4 linked regions of the Caenorhabditis elegans genome follow. The protein of the gene in region 3 interacts with the protein of the main gene of each other region in a pairwise test. Each region holds a gene or a part of one and is shown on either strand. Other genes may lie near its edges. The genes, in order: F21A9.2, egl-13, flh-2 and ztf-28.

The links.
Region 1: the proteins of flh-2 (region 3) and F21A9.2 interact in a two-hybrid assay, tested with the Caenorhabditis elegans proteins (one large-scale study listed by BioGRID).
Region 2: the proteins of flh-2 (region 3) and egl-13 interact in a two-hybrid assay, tested with the Caenorhabditis elegans proteins (one large-scale study listed by BioGRID).
Region 4: the proteins of flh-2 (region 3) and ztf-28 interact in a two-hybrid assay, tested with the Caenorhabditis elegans proteins (one large-scale study listed by BioGRID).

What each region holds. Positions count from the first base shown.
Region 1 is NC_003279.8:3,705,523-3,710,996, forward strand, and holds F21A9.2 (C2H2-type domain-containing protein), read right to left. Parts: upstream 3,914-5,474; 5' UTR 3,699-3,913; coding exon 3,657-3,698; intron 3,260-3,656; coding exon 3,158-3,259; intron 2,970-3,157; coding exon 2,855-2,969; intron 2,697-2,854; coding exon 2,586-2,696; intron 2,540-2,585; coding exon 2,352-2,539; intron 2,306-2,351; coding exon 2,160-2,305; intron 1,271-2,159; coding exon 1,009-1,270; intron 836-1,008; coding exon 681-835; intron 633-680; coding exon 575-632; 3' UTR 508-574; downstream 1-507.
Region 2 is NC_003284.9:5,662,270-5,666,842, reverse strand, and holds the start of egl-13 (Transcription factor egl-13), read right to left. Parts: upstream 3,007-4,573; 5' UTR 2,933-3,006; intron 2,479-2,932; exon of another isoform or gene 2,339-2,478; intron 356-2,338; exon of another isoform or gene 163-355; intron 1-162.
Region 3 is NC_003281.10:4,950,119-4,955,704, reverse strand, and holds flh-2 (FLYWCH transcription factor 2), read right to left. Parts: upstream 3,582-5,586; 5' UTR 3,573-3,581; coding exon 3,339-3,572; intron 3,213-3,338; coding exon 2,751-3,212; intron 2,297-2,750; coding exon 2,021-2,296; intron 1,845-2,020; coding exon 1,617-1,844; intron 1,533-1,616; coding exon 1,431-1,532; intron 1,185-1,430; coding exon 1,074-1,184; 3' UTR 534-1,073; downstream 1-533. UniProt on the Caenorhabditis elegans protein: Probable transcription factor. May bind to the promoters of target genes, including micro-RNA genes, in order to repress expression, and acting redundantly with flh-1 and flh-3.
Region 4 is NC_003283.11:2,088,772-2,092,240, reverse strand, and holds ztf-28 (C2H2-type domain-containing protein), read right to left. Parts: upstream 1,573-3,469; 5' UTR 1,561-1,572; coding exon 1,449-1,560; intron 1,388-1,448; coding exon 741-1,387; intron 686-740; coding exon 626-685; 3' UTR 501-625; downstream 1-500. Other genes in the region: gtnt-26 (Glycosyltransferase family 92 protein), read left to right, coding at 194-488; gtnt-27 (Glycosyltransferase family 92 protein), read right to left, coding at 2,494-2,641, 3,252-3,469.

The sequences.
Region 1 (5,474 bases), on a different chromosome or scaffold from region 3:
TCATATTAGATTTGAGTTGCCTGAGAATTGGAGTTTTAAAAAATCGAAAACGAGGTGCAAACGCGTTTCAACACCAAATGAAAACGATCCGCCCCCAAACGTTGGGTCTCATTGGGTATTGGCGGCAAAACCAGAAATTCAAACGTTTTCGAACATTATTCAACTGTTTTGTTCTTTTTCGTGATTTTTATGTGGTATAAAAATATAAAAATATAAAAAAAAACGTATCTGAAATTGAAAAATGAATACGCTCGTTTGATTCGGTTTTATATGTTCTTTTTGACATTAAAAAATAATTTTTTAAAAACAGAAAAAATTACAAAAAAGGTCTAAAAACTCTTGAAACCGGCGAAATCAGCGAAAATAATTTGAATTTCTGGTTTCCGGCCGCCAATTCCTAACGAGACCCGTCGTTTAGGGCGGAGCTTTTCACTTGACTATGAGGCGCGCTATTTTCTGCTGCCCAATAATATCTTTGAAAGTATGTTTCAAATTGGCAACAAAACAATTATTAAAACCCGTTTATTGAGCTGAAAATAAATTGTCTAATTTCTTAAAATATATTTTTATCCATTCATGTTTCATCGGGCTCATTGGCTTTGAATTTCAAAGCTTCATCGTCAGAATGAGATCTGAAACACATCGATTTACTTGATTATTACTTATAAGTTCCCCCAAACCTCATATGCGTACGAATCCCTCGCATACTGAATGCTCGGTAGCCGCACACCAAACATGTGAATGTCTTCGTTGTCTGATGCGATGATCGAATGTGCATAGATAGCTGCGAGGACGATGTCGGCACAAAATCGCATTTTGTACACTTCTCCGGTACCTACAAATCTCCTTTTTTTTCTTTCTTTTTTCGTTCTCAACTCAAGCTTGTGCACAAGCTCTCTTTCACTGGCTCGCCATAATTCAAGATTGCAATCAGAAAGAGGCTCGGAGAGATCACGAAAACTGATAAACTGGGAAATGAAGAAACTGAGAAATAAAAGTGTATCTCACCTTTCTCAAAGAATCATTTCTGTGTGGTCCACCACCTGGAGATGATACACGAGTTGTGTGGCTACAGTACAGTTGCTTATGCGCGTCATACGTGGTCTGAGACGAAAACGAGACTCCACAAGTGCACGAGAATGGTCTTTCCGGGTAGATTGGCTCACTGCTCGAGCTTTTTGAAGTTGGAGAACAACTGGCTGAGAGTGATGGAACACTTGGTGCATGGGGTGATGAGGATAAATCCAGAGGAGTTGAAGTTCTTACATTCCTGAATAGAAAAATAAAATAAAAAAGATTTTCATTTATTACGAGAACACGAAATTCTGAAAATGCGTATTACGCAACATATTTGACGCGCAAAATATCAAAACTACAGTAGTTCTTTAAATGACTATTGTAGCGCTTGTGTCGATTTACGGGATCGTTTTTCGAAATGAATTATTTATCAATAGAATATTAAAAATTAGAAACGAATGGAATATCACTGCCGCTTTTCAAAAATATATGCGAACAAGCCCATAAATAGGCACAAGCGCTACAGTAGTCAATTAAAGTAGTTTTCGCTTCGAGATATTTTCGCGTCAAATTTGTCGCACATTTGTCGCATTCTGAGTTTTGTATTCCCGTTATATAAAGGTTAAAAATGTTCCTTTTGAAATCAAGGTCCGCCCCTAAACGTTGGGTCTCGATAGGTATCGGCGCCAAAACTATCAATTTAAATTATTATGTTTTGTCGCCTGTCGTTTTAATTATTTTTAATTTCAAAAATGATGATATAAAAATGCATTCTTCAAACATCATTTTGACATGAATACATATCATGAAAAACAGCAAAAAAGTCGAAAAATGGTTGAAAACGTTTGGATTTTGCCGTCAATTCCTACCAGGACCACATGGAGTCAGAAAGTCCCATTTCGCTTTGATCTTCAAAAAATGGCGGGAGGAGAGACGCAGACATCTCATCTGATTTTGCATGATTAAGAGCATGCTGACGTCACATTTTTTCCGGAAAAAAATTCCCGCATTTTTTGTAGATCAAAGTGCAATGAGACTGTTTGACACCACGTGCAGGACCCCACATTTCGGGGCGGAGCGTTTTTAATTATCTGTGGAGCGCGCTTGCATAATAAGACTGTGTTGCAAAAGAAAAAACCAACTTCTCATCCAAATTGATAATAGGAATCTGCACGGAGAGTTTCGAAGTTGAAAAGTTTGGCATTTCCAATTTTCTCTTGTTATGAATGAGCAAAGGATTTGAGTTGATTAATGCCGAATTTCGTCCAATAGTAACAGGACCCACTACCTAAAAGTTCAATTGAAATTAACAACTAGCTTTCAAACTGAGTTACCTGAAAGGGATTCTGCTGAAAGAGGTCATGAAACGCCATTGGCAACAAAATAACATTTTGTTGTTTTCGAGAATCCGCATTTTCAACTACATTTCCGAGTTTCTTCTTACTACAGTACAAATCTTCATGAACTTTCAAATTGTGAAGGGAGTTGAATTTTGCCACGTGACAGTGTGGACATTCGTGTTCTGAAATTTCGAAATGCAGTTCTTTTCGAAAAGCAAAAAAGCTCACTTTTCTCCAACTTTTCTTGCTCCAGACGATAGTTCATATCAGCGACAAGAATGGCTCGAAGTGGCTCCACGGTCGTCAGATTTTTTGTGAAAAGAATTGTGAACACGGGACCTGAAACATTGGCCTAGGTGAAGTTGAAATTTCAAAAAAGTCGTTTGGTGGACTAATTAGTGAAAGCTAGGCAGGACATGAATTGTCTTTGAGTGCAAAAATATCCGTTTGGGTGGCCTAGTTTTCAATTTCTAGGCCATGTCGTGTGGCTCGCATACCTGTCTGCATAATGACACAATTAGCTAGAAGTGGACCTTGGGCTGCTTGAATTCTCCGCGTCACTGGATTCGATTCCATCTCGAAACCCATCGATTCACCGGTGAAGTTGGAGAGCTGGAAATTAAGGAGGTTCTACGGTGCATTTGTGCGGGGAATATGGTGTATTGTGTCTGTCGAATCAGAAGAATTCAATGCGCCAAAAGTTACGCGCAAATTTGAGAACCCACCGGTAGTCAGAATCCAGTTTTGATCTACAGATATTGCGCCAACTTCTATAACTTACAGTATATGCTTTAACTTACAGTAATCCTCAACAGTTGTCCATTGCCGCTCACAGAATACGGTCCAACACAATCGCCACATCTAAACTCGATTGGTGCGGTCATAACTTGTTTTCGTATTGACTGCAAACTTTTGATGATAATTCAGTCCTCAATATTCAACAAAAAAAGTTTTACGCGATGTGTAAATTTAATTTTCTAATTTTTTTTGCGTTATTTTTGTAATTTTGAATTTATATTTATCATCATTTCCCTATTCATTAATCAATATTTTTGTTTGTCAAATGTAGCGTTTTGGGTCTCGCAACGCTTAATTCTTTTGAGTTTACTGTACTGTAATTTCACCTTTCATAAGAAAACCGATAATAAAAATAAGAACAAATCAAATTTCAACAAGTTGTCAGAAAAAGGTGCAAGATAACATTACTTATTAGAAGAGCACACCTTTTTGCATTTCACAAAAATTTGTAGTGTCGAGACCGGGTTTGAAGCAAAAATCAAAAAATCTACTGTAACTCACGCTAGCTATTGTATTATGCAGAATCGATTGGTTTACATCCATTGTATATAAATGAAGTGGCCGAATGAGAAAACGAAAGAAGAGGCTTCCGACGAAGAAAGATGGGCTCGAGTGAGCGATAAGATCTCAGGGACAACGCGGGGCGCAGAGCAAGTTGTGCGTGCTCCGGCACTCCGAGTCACACAGATTTTGATGATAAGGTGAAGAAGAAGAAGACAAAAGGAAGATTGGGAAGAGCAGATGAAGTGACTGAACAACTGAAATAGATTGAATCTCCGGTTGGAATGAATATTAGATTAGTAGAGATTTGAGAGGAAAAGTTGAGTAGTGAACATTGCGCGTGAAATGTGATGCATTGAGTTGGCAGGTGCTTTAAGAGCAAAATATGAAATTTTAATAGAGAAAATCTAATGTTTTAAACTTCTGAATATTGCTTTGTTTTTGAAATTAATTATTTATGAGAATCTCCAAAGTACTGTCAGATTGAAGCCTTTTACCTTAGTGCATAATTTGAGCTACGGTAATTATTTTTTTGCGTATTAAATGTGCTTACACTTCAACAGTTTAAAGGTACATAGATGTTTCTAGAATATTTTCATAGATGGCTGATTCAAAATTAAAAGCTCTATATAGTAAAGTAATATTATAACATTGACTTTTGCCTACCGAATATCTCAATTATCGCCGTCTTCCTTACTGATCATTATCTACCCCAATTTTTATCTTTAATCAGTTACCACAATCTCTTATCATCTGTGATTCAGTTTAACTATACATGTAGGGATGTTCCCAGTTGTCGACTGTAGACATTTCACTAGGTTGAGGCGTGACGGGGGCGCCTCTCTCTCTCTCTCTCTCTCTCTCTCTCTCTCTCTCTCTCTTCGCCCTTCTCGCGCCCTATCCGTGCAATTCACTTATATACACGCTATAGCTATACAGCGAACTTTATTTTCTTCTTCTACGGTTTCAAAGGCGCACGTATTTATGCGAAATGGTCTCACCACGCGTTACTCATTAATGTTTTTTTTTTTCAATCAATGGGTTGCGCGTAGCGAGGCCATTCCGCTTAAATACGCGTTTATTTTTTTATCAATATAATATCAATTGGAATTATTTTAAATGAAAGAGAAAAAACCCCAAAGCAGAGTTCAAAAGATGTTCGTGCACGATCGTGTAGCAGCAAATCGGCGGCCGAGTTTTTTCTTTCATTTCCGCGGCCGCACAATAATCATGACGGTTTTACTGCATGACCAAGAGAGAGAGAGAGAGAGAGAGAGAGAGAGAAAATCTCGGCCATCAAGGTTTTCATGCAAAATTCAAGTTATCGACAGTTTCCGAAACGCAAAAACATGTGCCAATTTTTTCTCAGAAAAAAACTCACGAAAAATCAGGATAGTGCATACTATAAAAAATAAAATACTGAAAGTATGTATTCTCACAGTTCTCTCTAAAAGCCGCCACGTGGCAATGTCAAAAATTCAAAAGTGCCACCGGTTTTTTTCGAATTAAAACTCAAAAAAGTGATAAAAATGTATTATTACTGATGAAAATGTGAGGAAGAGGAAAAAGAAAGTGAGCCTGTGTGATATTATCATATCAGTTGAATTGAATCAGTGGAGTATGTGCTGATAGGGTTTCTTATCAGTTTCAACTAAAAAAACTAAACGACACCGATTGATTGCAAAACATCAGCTGATTGCAGATGTATGACGTGGCAGGAGGCACTGAAAAGCAAAAAAAGGTTCAGGAAATGTAGGAAAAAGGAAAAGCGGTGATAAAACTATAAAATATGAGGTAACCGGAAACGGGACAGAAGGA
Region 2 (4,573 bases), on a different chromosome or scaffold from region 3:
AAATTCCACAATTCATCGATGTTGCCCTTGGATAACTTGTTGTTGTGGGGATGGAGGAAACAGGGGCTAAGAATCGAAATCTATGAGCAAGGCCTGGTTAAGCCGATTATAGTCTAGAGCAGGATGGATCAAGGCCTATTTGTCAAATGGGAAAGGGCATAATGTTCGTTCAATATTGAATATTACAAGAGCTCCGTTTTGGTTTGACAACAAAAGATAGGTGTTATTAAGTGTGATATATAAAAGAAGAACAAGTGTGACAAGTGACTCCTTCCGCTGATTTGAGGTCAGTTTTTGAAAGAAAAAATTTTCGCAACAATTTCTGTTCAAGATTCGTATGAGAGTGGGACGAAAAGATGAAAAACGGGGGAACTTTTGTCGTCTTCCAGGAAGATGCAACAATTGACAAACATCTTGGCAGGCATTGTTCCATCAAGAGCTCGGGGTTCCCTGTGTCTTATCTTCCTATCAAAGATTTCAAACACGAAAAACGGATAGGAAAAAGTGATACTACGAGTACAAACGTTAGTTCGACGGATATTTTCAACACGTTCAAAATGGTGATATTTGTGGAATCGTTTCTCAAGGTGTCACACACTCTACTTACCATCAATTAACGAGACAATAGATAATCAAATAATGTCGGGGCAGGTGACAGGTTAGCAATAGTTGAACACCTAATAGAACATACGTCTCATGGCTTTGTTCCGTGTATCCGGGGCGCCGGTGACAACTGGCTCTTGTGGCGGCTGAACCTCGAAACAACGGTGCTCTTTTTCTCTCGATGTCACACTTTTTGAGAAACTGAGAAACTTTTCGTGCAATACAATGGAGCTCTCATTGCACTTTTAGTTTGGGACAAAAAATGTTGATAGGCTTGACGAGCGATGAGACACTGGGACAGTGGGACAGCGCAGATGTTTGATGAGCAGGAATGATGTTCGATTGTAGTGTTTTGCGAAGAATTGTTGTGTGATAAGTTTATGAAAAAAAAGTTAAGTCTCATGCACAACAAATAAGAAAGATTTCAAAAAAAGGTAAATCAAATATATTAGGTCTCCAAATAAGTTCTGGGTCAAAAATCATAACTTTGTTCGCTGTGTATCGATTTTCATGAAACTCTGGGAATTTATGTTATCAACTATAATCTTTCATTTAACAATAGTCACGAAATTTTTTGACCGCCCCAAGTGTCCTAACTCGGAGCCAATTTTTTCAGGCATTTTTCTGATCTCGCTTATTTTCAGCTTTGAATTGAGGGTTGTGTGCGGATTTTTCTTTGTTTAGAATACATTATTAGAAAACAACAAAAGTTTTGAAAAAATCCGTCCAAAAAAATTTTTTTTGGTTGGTCGTCAAAAAATCTTCAAAAAAATTTTTTGTCGAAAATTCTAGATTTTTCCTACAAAAATGATGTAACCATGAACCTCAATTGAAATTTGAAAAGAAGCGAGATCAGAAAAATGCCTGAAAAAATTGGTTCCGAGTTAGGGCACTTGGGGTGGTCAAAAAATTTTGTGACTATTGTCAAATGAAAGATCATAGTTGATAACATGAATTCCCAAAGTTTCATAAAAATCGATACGCAGCGAACAAAGTTATGACTTTTGACCCGGAACTTATTTGGAGACCTAATATACCACCAAATATTTCTCTACAGTGTGCCCAACGTCTATAGCACCACCCCACTAATTTGAGAGTTTGGTGTTTTTGAAAATATTTTTTGAAAAGGTGTTAGTACAGTTCAATAGAAAATGTTGAAAACCTATGGTCCTTGATTTTCACAACTTATATCTCAAAGTTTAGTTCGAAATTTTAACAATAAACGAGAAAATTATGAGGAGCCGAGAACTGGCCCCTGTCAAAAAATCCGATGAGTGCTATAGAAGTTGGATGAATGTTTTTTTTACAAAATTTTTACTTAATTTTCAGGTATCATCATAAAACTGGGGGAGCATATCCTTTGCAGCATTTGCTATCAAACTGTGCTGACGTTTTTTTCTGAAAATAATTTGGAAGCACCAAACTCCCAGATTAGAAAAGGGATGATATAGACGTTAGTTGTAATGTATTAGTCTTGTACTCTCATTGCTTTACTTTGACAGCTTCTATCTCGGTTGGCAAATTATGTGCAAAATGTTTTTGTACATTTCAACAGTAAATAATTTTTTGGTAAAACTTAAGAAGACTGATATACGAGGTAAATCCATTGGGGTGCAAGTTTAATACGGAAAATGCGGTTTTTAACTACAATCAAGTATGTCAATGATCACTCGCATGTTTCTCCCTTGAAGCTCAAGCTGAATAGAGTATGGTTTCAATAGATTCTCAATAGAGTATTCAAAAGAAATAATTGACATATACACCCTACCAAAACTGCAAACACAAGAGCAAGGATAATTCATCATCGAGATCTCCAATTATCCCTTACAGTCTGTCAAGAATACATGAATATTTGATAAGGTAAAGTATGGAAGAAGAAGGATAACACAAAGGATAGATAGAAAAGAAGAAAAAACAATTATTTATGGAATTGGCAGTGCCCATAGGAGGCACATGATGATAAACTCGGAGTTAGCTAGGATATTAAAGGGATCATGAGCAGTGACGGGTGCGGCGATTTGGCCTACTATTATTATGATCAACAACGGCACACGACAAGGAGAAAATAAGACTAGACAAAGTAATAATTCTTTGAAATCTGTCACCAAATCTGGAAGTGTTGCTCTTGCTCCAAATGCGCAAATATAGGCAAAAGTGTGAGAAAAGTAAAGTTGGTGAGGAAGAGAATACTTACCAGATGCTTGCTGGTGCAAATACTTGTTCTACTTGTTTTGTTATTTCAATGAAAAAGCAAAACAGTGCTCACAACATTAAAAGGGGAAAGAGCATGGCACAGTAGAAACTAGAACGGAAACTAGTTCTTACTCACCACTATAGAGCCATTCGGGAGATTGTTGTTACTGATCCAGCAGTATTATGGAGTATTGATTTTATTTGGAGTGTCTGGAATTTTAAATTTGCGTTTGTAAATTCAAGCCTGAAGAAAACATTGAAAAAGAAGAATCAAAAGCGTTAGAAATTGAAACTAGAGAAACTTAAAAAGGCCGATTATTTGAGTTCAGTGGCATTATTAATTCAAACGATTCACACGCGCTGAATGAATTGTGAATTATGAAGGAGAACAAAGATATTGCACAGATATATATCAGAAATTCCTTTTCTTCAATTGAGGATAGTCTCACGATTTGTCCTTTGAGGGTAAGAAGAAAAAGAAAAGAGAAAAGGTTCAAGTGAATAAAAGATGGGGGCAAAATGGAAAAATGAGAAAAAAAATGTTTGGTTGAAAGTAGAAAGCAACACTTAGAGAAACATAAGTTCAGTAGTCAAACAGAAAATATAACTAGTTGTCCCACAAGGAAGCCTATGGTATTAATTTTTTGTTTTGGACTGTTCACGAAATTTCATTGGTCACTAGTTTCAGACATGGTGACCCAATTGAACTGGCAATTTCAGACAACAAACTTTGAACCAAGAGAAGAAGAGAGAGGGAGAAAACAGGAAAAAGCTGGTATTGGTTGTCTAGGTGATTGGAAGAGGGAACTGGTATCAGACAAGTGGTTCAAGGTAGTTGTGTTCCATCACACAATGAAGAGAATGAAAGAGAGTGACCACCCCACCTGAAAACAAAACTGACCACGCAATTTGTTTGTCCTCTGAATCGTCTCACAATAAGTTACACACTGTGCCCTCTTCTCTGCAAAGTGGGTGGTGGTGGTGTGTTGTCGGAGAGACACGGTGGGGACCCGCGCTTCTTCAGAACTGGATGTGTTGACCAATGGCGCAAAAGTTTTCCAAAGAACGCGAAATGGTAATAGGTCGAGAACCACTTGCAACAATTCCATAATGTTTCTTTTAGTTGACACAATGCACCTACTCAACCTCGTTTCGAAGATTCGGAAATGCATTTATGATAGACTAAGAGGGCATCGCAATACGAGGACGGGAATCAATCATAATGTATTTTAGGTGGACATTTTAGCTTTTGACAGTAAAGAATATTGAAACACACTGAAATTGTATTTCAATATAGCCTAGAAATTTTAAGTAGGCCAAAAAGTTCTAACTATAGTGAGAGGTTATGACATCTAGGAACTTGGAATATTAAAAAAAATCTTAGTTACTACATACAACAAAATCCTAGAGTATACGAACTCTTATATAAGTCTATATAAAATAAGGTCAAAAGGCTATCACAAATGAAACCGTAAAGATACGGTTTTCTAGTTCAAGAATATACAGAGTCGCCCATAATTATGGCGACCACTTTGCAGTAACTCAACGTTTCTGTTTTTGGAACGAGATATTAAAACAAGTGAACTTACACAGTTATTAACCACCCTGAATAACTAGGTAAATTAAATAGGTTTGCATATTTAGAATTGTTAAAAACACAAGAACTGAAAAAACACATCGAAATGTTAAAATTTTAGATCTATGCTTGAACTTGAATTTGAGATTGAGACATTTAGTATTCCGATTTTCTAAGCAAACTCAAATACTGTTGCACAAC
Region 3 (5,586 bases):
TTGTTTAAGATAAAAAACGTTTCAATTTGTTTCCTAGCAACGTTTTTGATGTAATCGTCAATGTAACAGCCACAATTGTATGAGCGTCATGTTCTTTCTACATATTTTTGATAATGTATAATTGGAGTCTAGACCGACCCTTACTACAGGGTGGCCCATAATTATGCGGACCGCCAGTCTGAAAAGTTAACAATTGAACATCCGTGTTCCGAGTTTATCGACAAGCTGTAAGAATAGTTTTCAAAATTAAAAAAACACTAATTTTGTCATATAAAACACAAACACTCACTTTTACTAGAGGAGCAACATCTATTAATTCGGCTCTTGAAGATTCTAACTCGACAAAAATGTCACGAAATTTGATGAGTATTTGTTGGAGCATGTTGGAGCTCTTTTGTGATATTTTTTGATGAATTCGGAACTTGATGACAAAATTGGTTATTTCTCATCTCTTTGCTACGATTAGGTACTCAATTTTTCATGGACTTAGACATACTAATGCTAGAACACAATGGTGACATTATAGCAACATTTTTTACTTATTCATGTTCAATTGTCCACTTTATATATATTTTTATTTCATAGAAACAATTTATTGATGTAAGTGATCAGGGGATAATTGTTAGTTGAACGATATCATTTTATCAAAAGAAAAGGAGCATATAAAGGGGGTTTTTTCCTGAGTTGGAGAGGGTGGTTTCCGTAATTTTATAAGGGGGAAAGAGCACAATAAAAGGGAGACATAGAGATTGGAATTGACAAGGAATATGAAAATTTGCGAACTTTTCTGAAAAGTTCACAATGAGATCCGGAAATGGGGGACCTGACGACGAGCTTTTTTGTTGAGAAACAGACAAGATTATAGAGACAAGATAAGGGAGAGGTATTGAGAGGGGAAAATGGCTGGAATAAATTTAAAAAAAAATTTACAATTTGTAATTATATGATTGCTCCGGGAGCTCGATATTATAGGTTCATGACAACTAATAAAATGTAGCGTGCAGCGAAACGTTGCAGTCGGTCAAGTTATAATTTCATGACTCCAAACTATCGATTAATTGAATAATGATCACTTAGACATGGTTTAAAGGCTCGCCGAAAGCGTCGACGGGCGTTAGACGCCAGAGAGCCGGTGCATCAGTGTTGACGAGAAATAGTTTTCCGTGTGTCCAATTGCTGATTAGCTGAAAGGTTCAGAAATGCTTAGAAAAAAATGACTTGATTTAGATTTTTTGTAGGATAAATTTGACAAACTGCCAAACTTTCGAAAAAATCTTCGAGCTTTCCCACAGGTCTTCGAGCTTCCCCTACAACAAATACAAATAATCAATGCTAAATTTCGAAAAGTGGAAGAGTTTTCTCATATTCACCGCCACGTAGCAAAACTCTACCAGGGCTCATGTCTAGTCTTAGAAAATTGATTCGCTTACCGCTTCATGTACAAGCACATTAACCCTCTGTGAGTAACACAGAGCAAGTTTTCCTTCGCAACGTTTGCCAGTGAATCCTTCTAACGCAGTGATTAGGGATTTCTGAAAATTATAAATTTTTAGGAAATAATTGTTGATTGTTTTCTGCTTTCAGTCTTTCGGGCTTCCAGAAATTATATTACTTACCTCATCACGATTCATGACAACCACCGGAAAGAAGACATTCTCTTCTGCTCCATTATCATGTGATAAGAACAAAAGAATTGACCCTTCATCTCCTTGCCATCGAACTCCAATTTCAGTTTTTGGCTTCATCATTTCCATGAGCTTTTTGGTCAATTCGTAAGTGATACGGAATTCTTCTTGTGACATCAATTGAGATGAATCTTCTTCTTCTTTAGGAGTTGTGCGTTGCTGAAAATATTAAGAAATTCCAAAGTTGTTCGAAATTTTCGAATTTGGCCCTGAATTTTAGAAATTCGTATCATTTTTTTTAGTTCATTTCCGTTTTTCTGGCTCAAACCTATAGTTTTGAAAAGTTCCAACCTTATGATGTTTGAACAAAGCATAATTATTCAAGAAAAACAAACCGATTTCAAAGTGATAGGCATCACAGTCGTTGATACTCTTTTCTGTCCAACAACCGGCGGACTTATTCCAGCAGAAGTTGCAGCTGCAGCCGCAGTTGCTGCTGCATTGATTGAGGCGAGAAGCATTAAATTATTGTTTTGTTGAAAGTTTTGAATTGTTTGATTTGTCGTGTCAACTTCCATTGGTTCAGCTTTAATTTGTTGTGGAGCAATTGGTAGAGCTTGTGATACATGTGAGGCACGGCTCAGTTTTCGTTGCATGTAGGATCGGTTGATCTAAAAGATTTCAATTTAAAAAAGATTGGGAAATTTTGGAATTCTTAAATCAAAAAACATGAAATTAGCAGTTACACATAATCCGAATGTTTTATTAACAATAAGTGTTGTGCCTACCTGCCTGCCTACAGGATCTACCGAAAACTAAAAAAAAACTTTTTTATTTTGGCTGGTTTCCCTGTAACCCCCCGCGATGAAAATCCACGCCCACTGCGTCTTTAAACTCCGCCCACTCCGTCTGATTGGTTGGAAAATGAGCGGAGCGAATCGCTGATTGGTCTAACATTTATCATTTTAGAGGAAGTTCAAGCAGGGCGATTAGTAAAAATCGAAATACATATAACGTTTCGGCGTACATACATTTTCGTTCTTTCTCGACTTTTTATTTCTAACTATTTTGAATATTTCAAGTTTTGAATATTCACCATAAATCTTTTAGCTCAAAAAAACTCACACTTTTCACTGGATGACAATAATTTGGATGGAGAGTAGAGAAATCTTGCTCATAAAATGCAAGTTCTTCGGGCGACGGTTTCTCATGATTATGTGGATGTAACTTTCTCACAATTTCTCGTGTATTGATATCTGAATGCATTCTTGCATTACAATCATTCTTTCGTTCACATCTCCAAAATTCTTTAGTTCCACAACACGATTTCTTATCAAATGACATGATATATCCATCTGCATACACTTTTTCTCGCACATTTCTCGGTTTATATTCGGGTTCTGTGGACGATGATGACGTGGATGTTGCGTTTGATTGTCCACTGTTAGATACTGCAGTTGCAGTTGAAGACGGTGATGAGCTGGCAGATGGACGTGTATCTTCAGATATTAACTGAGATGTTTGGGATTGTGGATCAAGAAGTAGAGAGAATGCTTTTAGATTTGTAGTGCCAAGGGCTTGAAGAGTCTGAAAAATAACAGATAGACTTACTCGAACATGAATATCTAAAAAGTCTTTCAAGAGAATCAATTTCACATCTATAACTCAATATATTAATCAAGGAGTCAAAACCACAAAGAGCCCATCTCTCACCTGAATAACATTCGTATAGTCAATATCTGCCAAATGTTTTTGCGAATTGGTTCCATTCACCGCTGCCTGCACAATCGTTGGTTGTTGTAACAGTAATCCGGCGACTATTTGCTTCTGTGCCAACATCGCCAGTTCATTATTATTATTTCTGTTTGGTGTCGTCGACGGTAGTGGAAAGATCGGAGGAACCGCTGTGACACCATCTGTATTTGTGTTCATCATGGTGTCCACCATACAGGCGGTCTGAAAAGAGGAAAATTAATGGAAAATACGATGAATTCAAAACTATCTACACGGTATGTCTCAATTGTTTTAGAACATTTGAATAACAAATCCAAGAGATGCAAGAAGCGTACTAATAGAGGAATTAAGTGACAATTGCGATTAAGGTGAACAAAAAACAAAAGTAAAGGGAATATTAATATTTAGGTGCAATAGAAGAAAAGGAAGTGGTACCATCGGAGAATTGAAAAAATATGATAGGGTTATTCCAAAATTGTGAGATCATGAGTTTTCTCTGGTTTGGATTGGGATCTACAAAACTATTTTACTAGAACTTGTATTTTTTTTAATCAGAGAGCAAACAAGGACATTCCAATTCACCTCTAATTGTAGTGCTTTCAATCTTTCTAAACCTCCTCAACATATGATAAAAAGTTATTTAGTTGAAAATATTTTGCTAGATTGCTTTTTTTCAAAAAGTTCAAAATTCGTAGACTTCTTAAAAATATTTAGATAATGTTCCGATGTTTTCCAAAATTCCAATGAATAGTTTAAGATTGCCCTCTTCGAGTTGTTGTAAACATAAAAAATGGAAGAGAGTGTGCTCTTTTGACAGAGACTGCACTAGTAGTAAACGATGCAGTGAGGGGGAACAAAATGGTCGCGCCAGGCGCCAGCTGGTCGCAGCAGGGGTCCGTCCGCCGGTTTGGAGCCTCTCCCCTCTCCCGGTTTCCATTGGCTCCACATCAGTAGAATCCACTAAATATATGCGGAATGGCGTCGGGAAGCGGCCGCGGCGGAGGAGAGAGGGAGGAGGACGCGGCGACGGACGATTTATTGGCGCCATGCTGTGTTGGTTTAACTCAGTTATTCATCACTTTTGAAAGATACAAATTTAATGAAAAAGTGACAGAGATAATGAAAGAACCCTAGAATTAGATGGTAGATTGGTCAAAAAAGTAAAAACGCAGTCGGAGGCGGCCTATACCTAGCGGGAATTTCGTCTAATGACGCGAATTTTAAGAAATCAAGACAATCTGAAAAAAAACGAACTAAGCCTAAGCCTAGGCCTCATCATGAGCCTGAGCCTGAGCCTGAGCCTGAGCCTGAGCCTGAGCCTGAGCCTAATCCTAAGAGCAATCATAAGCCCAGGCCGGTCTGCAGACCCTTAAACTTGCGAAAGTATTGTACAAGACTTGCGGTTTTTCTTGTTAATTTCATAAACTTATGATTATCTGTAAAGTTAGCTTAACATGAATAATATGTAAAGTCCTGACCGGAAAAAACAATTAAATATTCAATTATTACAATGTGGTTAGATACTAACGAAAACAATCATTTTTTAAGCTTACAAAAAACTATATGAATAACAATATAATTAAATTTTTAGAAAATATAAATATTAAACCAAAAAATACCAACTTGGAATGCCCTTTTCGTGAGCTCAATGACTCCGTTGAAGCGGAGCCAAAAAGCAGAAGGGACCTGACTCCCAGAGCCCACGAGAAGCGCCAGGAGAAGCGCGCGCCGAAAAAAGATGGATAGAGAGAAAAAGAGAAAAAGAATGAAAAAAAGAGAGAAGCAGTCAGATGACCGACGCGGCGCCAGTCAAAATAGAGGCGCTCGTGGTGGAGTGAGAGAAGGACGGGGGAGCGAGAGTAGAAGCAGAAAAAAAAGAAAAGAAGACCACCCAAACAAGCTCTTTCTCTCTTTTTCTTTAGACCAACGTACCTATTATCGTCACCGCTTCTTCTTCTTCTTCTACGCCTCTTTTTTCTCCATATTCCCGTGTCACCATCACCACCTAGTACGGCAAAAAACAAAGGTGATGGATGGGAAAAATGAAAATATTCACTGAATTTAGTGGTTATAGATCTAGATTTTTCAAGTTTACAAGAAAAGTAAGACAATGTAACATCAGGCTCCAAAAAAGATAGATTTTTTGAAGACTTTCATTTTTTTTTTTAAAGTTCTAAGTTTTTTGAATCTATTGCTCGCGCAAGTGAAGTCAAAAAAATTTCAGATT
Region 4 (3,469 bases), on a different chromosome or scaffold from region 3:
TGCGGTGTGCGCCTTTGAAGAGTACTGTATTTTCAAAAACTCTGGTTTTTTTATCGATATTTCATACCTTACGCAGCAACCCGAGTTTAAAGTTACAGTACTCATTAAAGGCACACACTTGCATTCAACAAAAATGTGTCGTGTCAGGACCGGGAACCACAATTTCAAAAGTTCAAATTTTAAAAAATTTCAGCACAATTTCCCAGCCAGAATTCACCAGCTTAACCTCCTCTCTGCCCAAAGATGATTTTTATACGAACATCGTATTCCAGTGCTATAATCAATCATTTTATCACATTCGAGACGCCGGCCTTCTTTCTGCAGAATCCACGTGTGTAAATGCTTTTGATTGTGAGCTTTCACAACGAGAAGCGATGCCGTGTACCCATTCAGATGCCACGTATCACTCCGGGCCGCCCATGTTTCCAATCACATTCCATTGGGCGAGTGATGCATTCTTTAGTGATGAGATTGGATGCTATCAGTAATTGGATCTTTTTTTTAATCAAAATAATGTATTAAAGCTTATCGAAAATTGAAAATGTAAATTAACATAACATGAAAATCAAAAAGTGAGCAGTGAGGTAGAACTATAAACATAATGAAGACACTCGAACATCAACGATTACTCAATTTCCGGCTTGATGCGCTTTTCTGGGATCATGGCTGGCTCGGCTGGCTGGATCTGAAAAATTATTTTTTGAAAATTTATCTTTAAAAAAAATGTTTTAATTAGCTACCTGCTGAGCTTTCTTGTAGCTCTGAAGCGCCGTCGCAAGAGCATTCGCACTTTCGATGATTATGACCCATGTGTCGACTTCAGTGATCTGCTGATCGGTGAAAAAATTTCTCTGTAGAATTGTGTCGACTGCATTGTTGAAGAATCTTTTGTACTCGAGAGCTTCTTCATTGGGCTCTGGCTCTGGCTCTGGCTCCAGCTTCAGCTCCAGCTCCGGTTGGGGCGATCCTGAAGCGTCGCGGGAAGATGAGGACGTTGTTGAATTGGAAGTCGACGGCGACAGAGACTTGTTCAAAAGACGATTAAGCTTGAAGCCGGCTCTTTGAATTGGCGATTTCAGCAGTGATCCCGGTGAATTGCCGGATTTCGCAATCGGGTTGGCGTCTCCTGGAGCTCCGGTTTCCTGTATGGCCTTTGCGTGTTCGGTGAGGGCTTTTTTGTTGGAAAACGTCCAGTTACAGCATCCGCAGGTGTATACTTGACCCAAGTAGTGCTCATTTCTCATGTGATCACGGACGGTCTCCTTCAGGTAGAGCTTACGGGCGCACAGCATGCAGGTGTACTCGTCGCTATGCACCAGTTTACGATGGCGGTTGAGAGAAGCGCCGTGCTTGAAGTTTTGGCCGCAGGACAAGCAGAGGAAATCGCCTGAAAAATGGAAAAATTAATGTTTTTTTTTAATTACAAAAAAAAATAAAATAAAACTCACCTCTGAGATCCGGCCGCTTAAGCTCGCTTTCTTCTTTGCGAAGCAGTGACGATTTTTCAGCGAATTCCGTTTCGAAGCGGTCGATAAGGGGCTTGTGATCGGAAGTATCCATGAAGCTGATTTTCTGAAAGAAGAGGACATTTTGAAGAAAAATTTTAGAATTTTACATCAATTTACACTCAAAATAATAAAACTGCGTTGCGTGTACGCCAAAATAGGCCCCGCCTTTTTCTCGTTCACTCACGGGGAAAAGGCAAAAAGCGGCTGGTGTAGCCAATATCAGCAGCCGACATCATTCGAGGTCCGCGCACCACACTATTTTTCTCACTGTTGGCGTGGCGAGCTGTCCCCCCCCTCCCATATTTTTGCCTTTTTCCCGTGAGTGGACGATTAAAAGGCGGGGCCTATTTGGTCGTACACGCAACGCAGTTTTATTATTTTGAGTGTAGAAGAAAAAAGAATTTTTTTACTGACCTACAAAATTTTTGCAAGGATAGTAGACTAAAAAAGCTTCTCACTAATCACATTAATCATATAATTAATAAATAATATTTTTAAACGAAAAAAATCTGTAAAATTAATTAATTCAGGGTCGACGTCGTTTAAAAGTGTTACTTCTTTGTTTCTACGCTTGTAAAGTAGGTTTTCAATCGATTATTTGAATTTATCTTAATTTTTTCTTTATATTTCAAAAAAAAAATACACTGAAAACATGAAAAATCGGTGAAAAATGAGTGAAAATAACAATAAATATTTAATTTTAAATAAAAATAAAAACGTGCAAGCGCGCTCCATCGAACGAATTCTCTTGGCGGTAATTCAAATTGCAGTTCGGGCAAAACTGAGATTTTTCCAATTTTCAAAAAGTCATATAAAATTTAGAAAAAAAAATTGAATTTTTTTACTATGATATTTGGCCATTGTGACACTATAGGCATGTTTTAAAGCAATTTTCCCACTGGCGCTACTTTGTGATTTGATTTATTTCGACATGAAAAAAAAGGAATACAAAACCGGTACAGTAAGTTACTGCAATTTCTTCATTTCAAGACCCATAAATATGCTCAGCCATATTAGCAACTTTATGCACCAGAAGCTTCTCCAGCTCCCTATCCAGCTCGGTTATAGTGAAGTTGTCGCCGTAAATCCAACCATTTCCGATACTATTTCTGACGGAGGTCATTCGGTAGTGTCTGAAAATGTCAGTGTCGATTTACGCGGCTCGTGTACTCCTCGAGGACAAGTGTGCGTTTTTTGGCAAAAATTTCCTGATTTTTGGCCATTTTCGGTAATTTTTTCTACAGAATTTCCGCCTAAAACACTAAAAAATTAGAAAATTCAGTCTAAAATGCTCACTATTTTCAAAAATAATACACAAAAATCGGCAAGAATTTCAGTAAAAATTCAAAAATCTCTGCAAAAAACAAATGCACACTTCTCCTCGAGAAGTACACGAGCTGCTGCTTGAATTTACATATGACCGTGTTATTATACACACGCGAAACTTTGTGATTTTTGAGCTAAAAATACGATATCTGGTCTCGACACGATAATTTGTATTTTCGAAGAGGTGTGCGCCTTTAAGGAGTACTGTACGTTGGTGGGCTCTTCATAGTTCTTCGATAAAAAATATTATTCTGCAGAAAACAATCGAAAGAAAATTCCACTGCAACAAAAGTTTGCAATTACAGTACCCATTAAAGGCACACACCTTTTAGTATTAAACAAAACATTTTCGTGTCGAGACCGAGTACCATATTTTGGTCCAAAAATCGCAAACTTTCACGTATGTGTAAAACCTACCTAAACCCGGCAGTCTCCCTGGGAACATTTTTCACGATAACGCCGGGATACTGTAGATGAGTGTGATGGTAGGTTTGTACGGCGACCATTTCCGGGCGGTATATACTTTTTGAAGATTCCCAGATTTGAGTTCTAGTAGTGTTCCGGAATTTCAGCGCCTCCAGGTTTTCGATGGTGTCTTGCAGATTGGTGAATTTCTGCGGTGAGTTTTCGGTTTT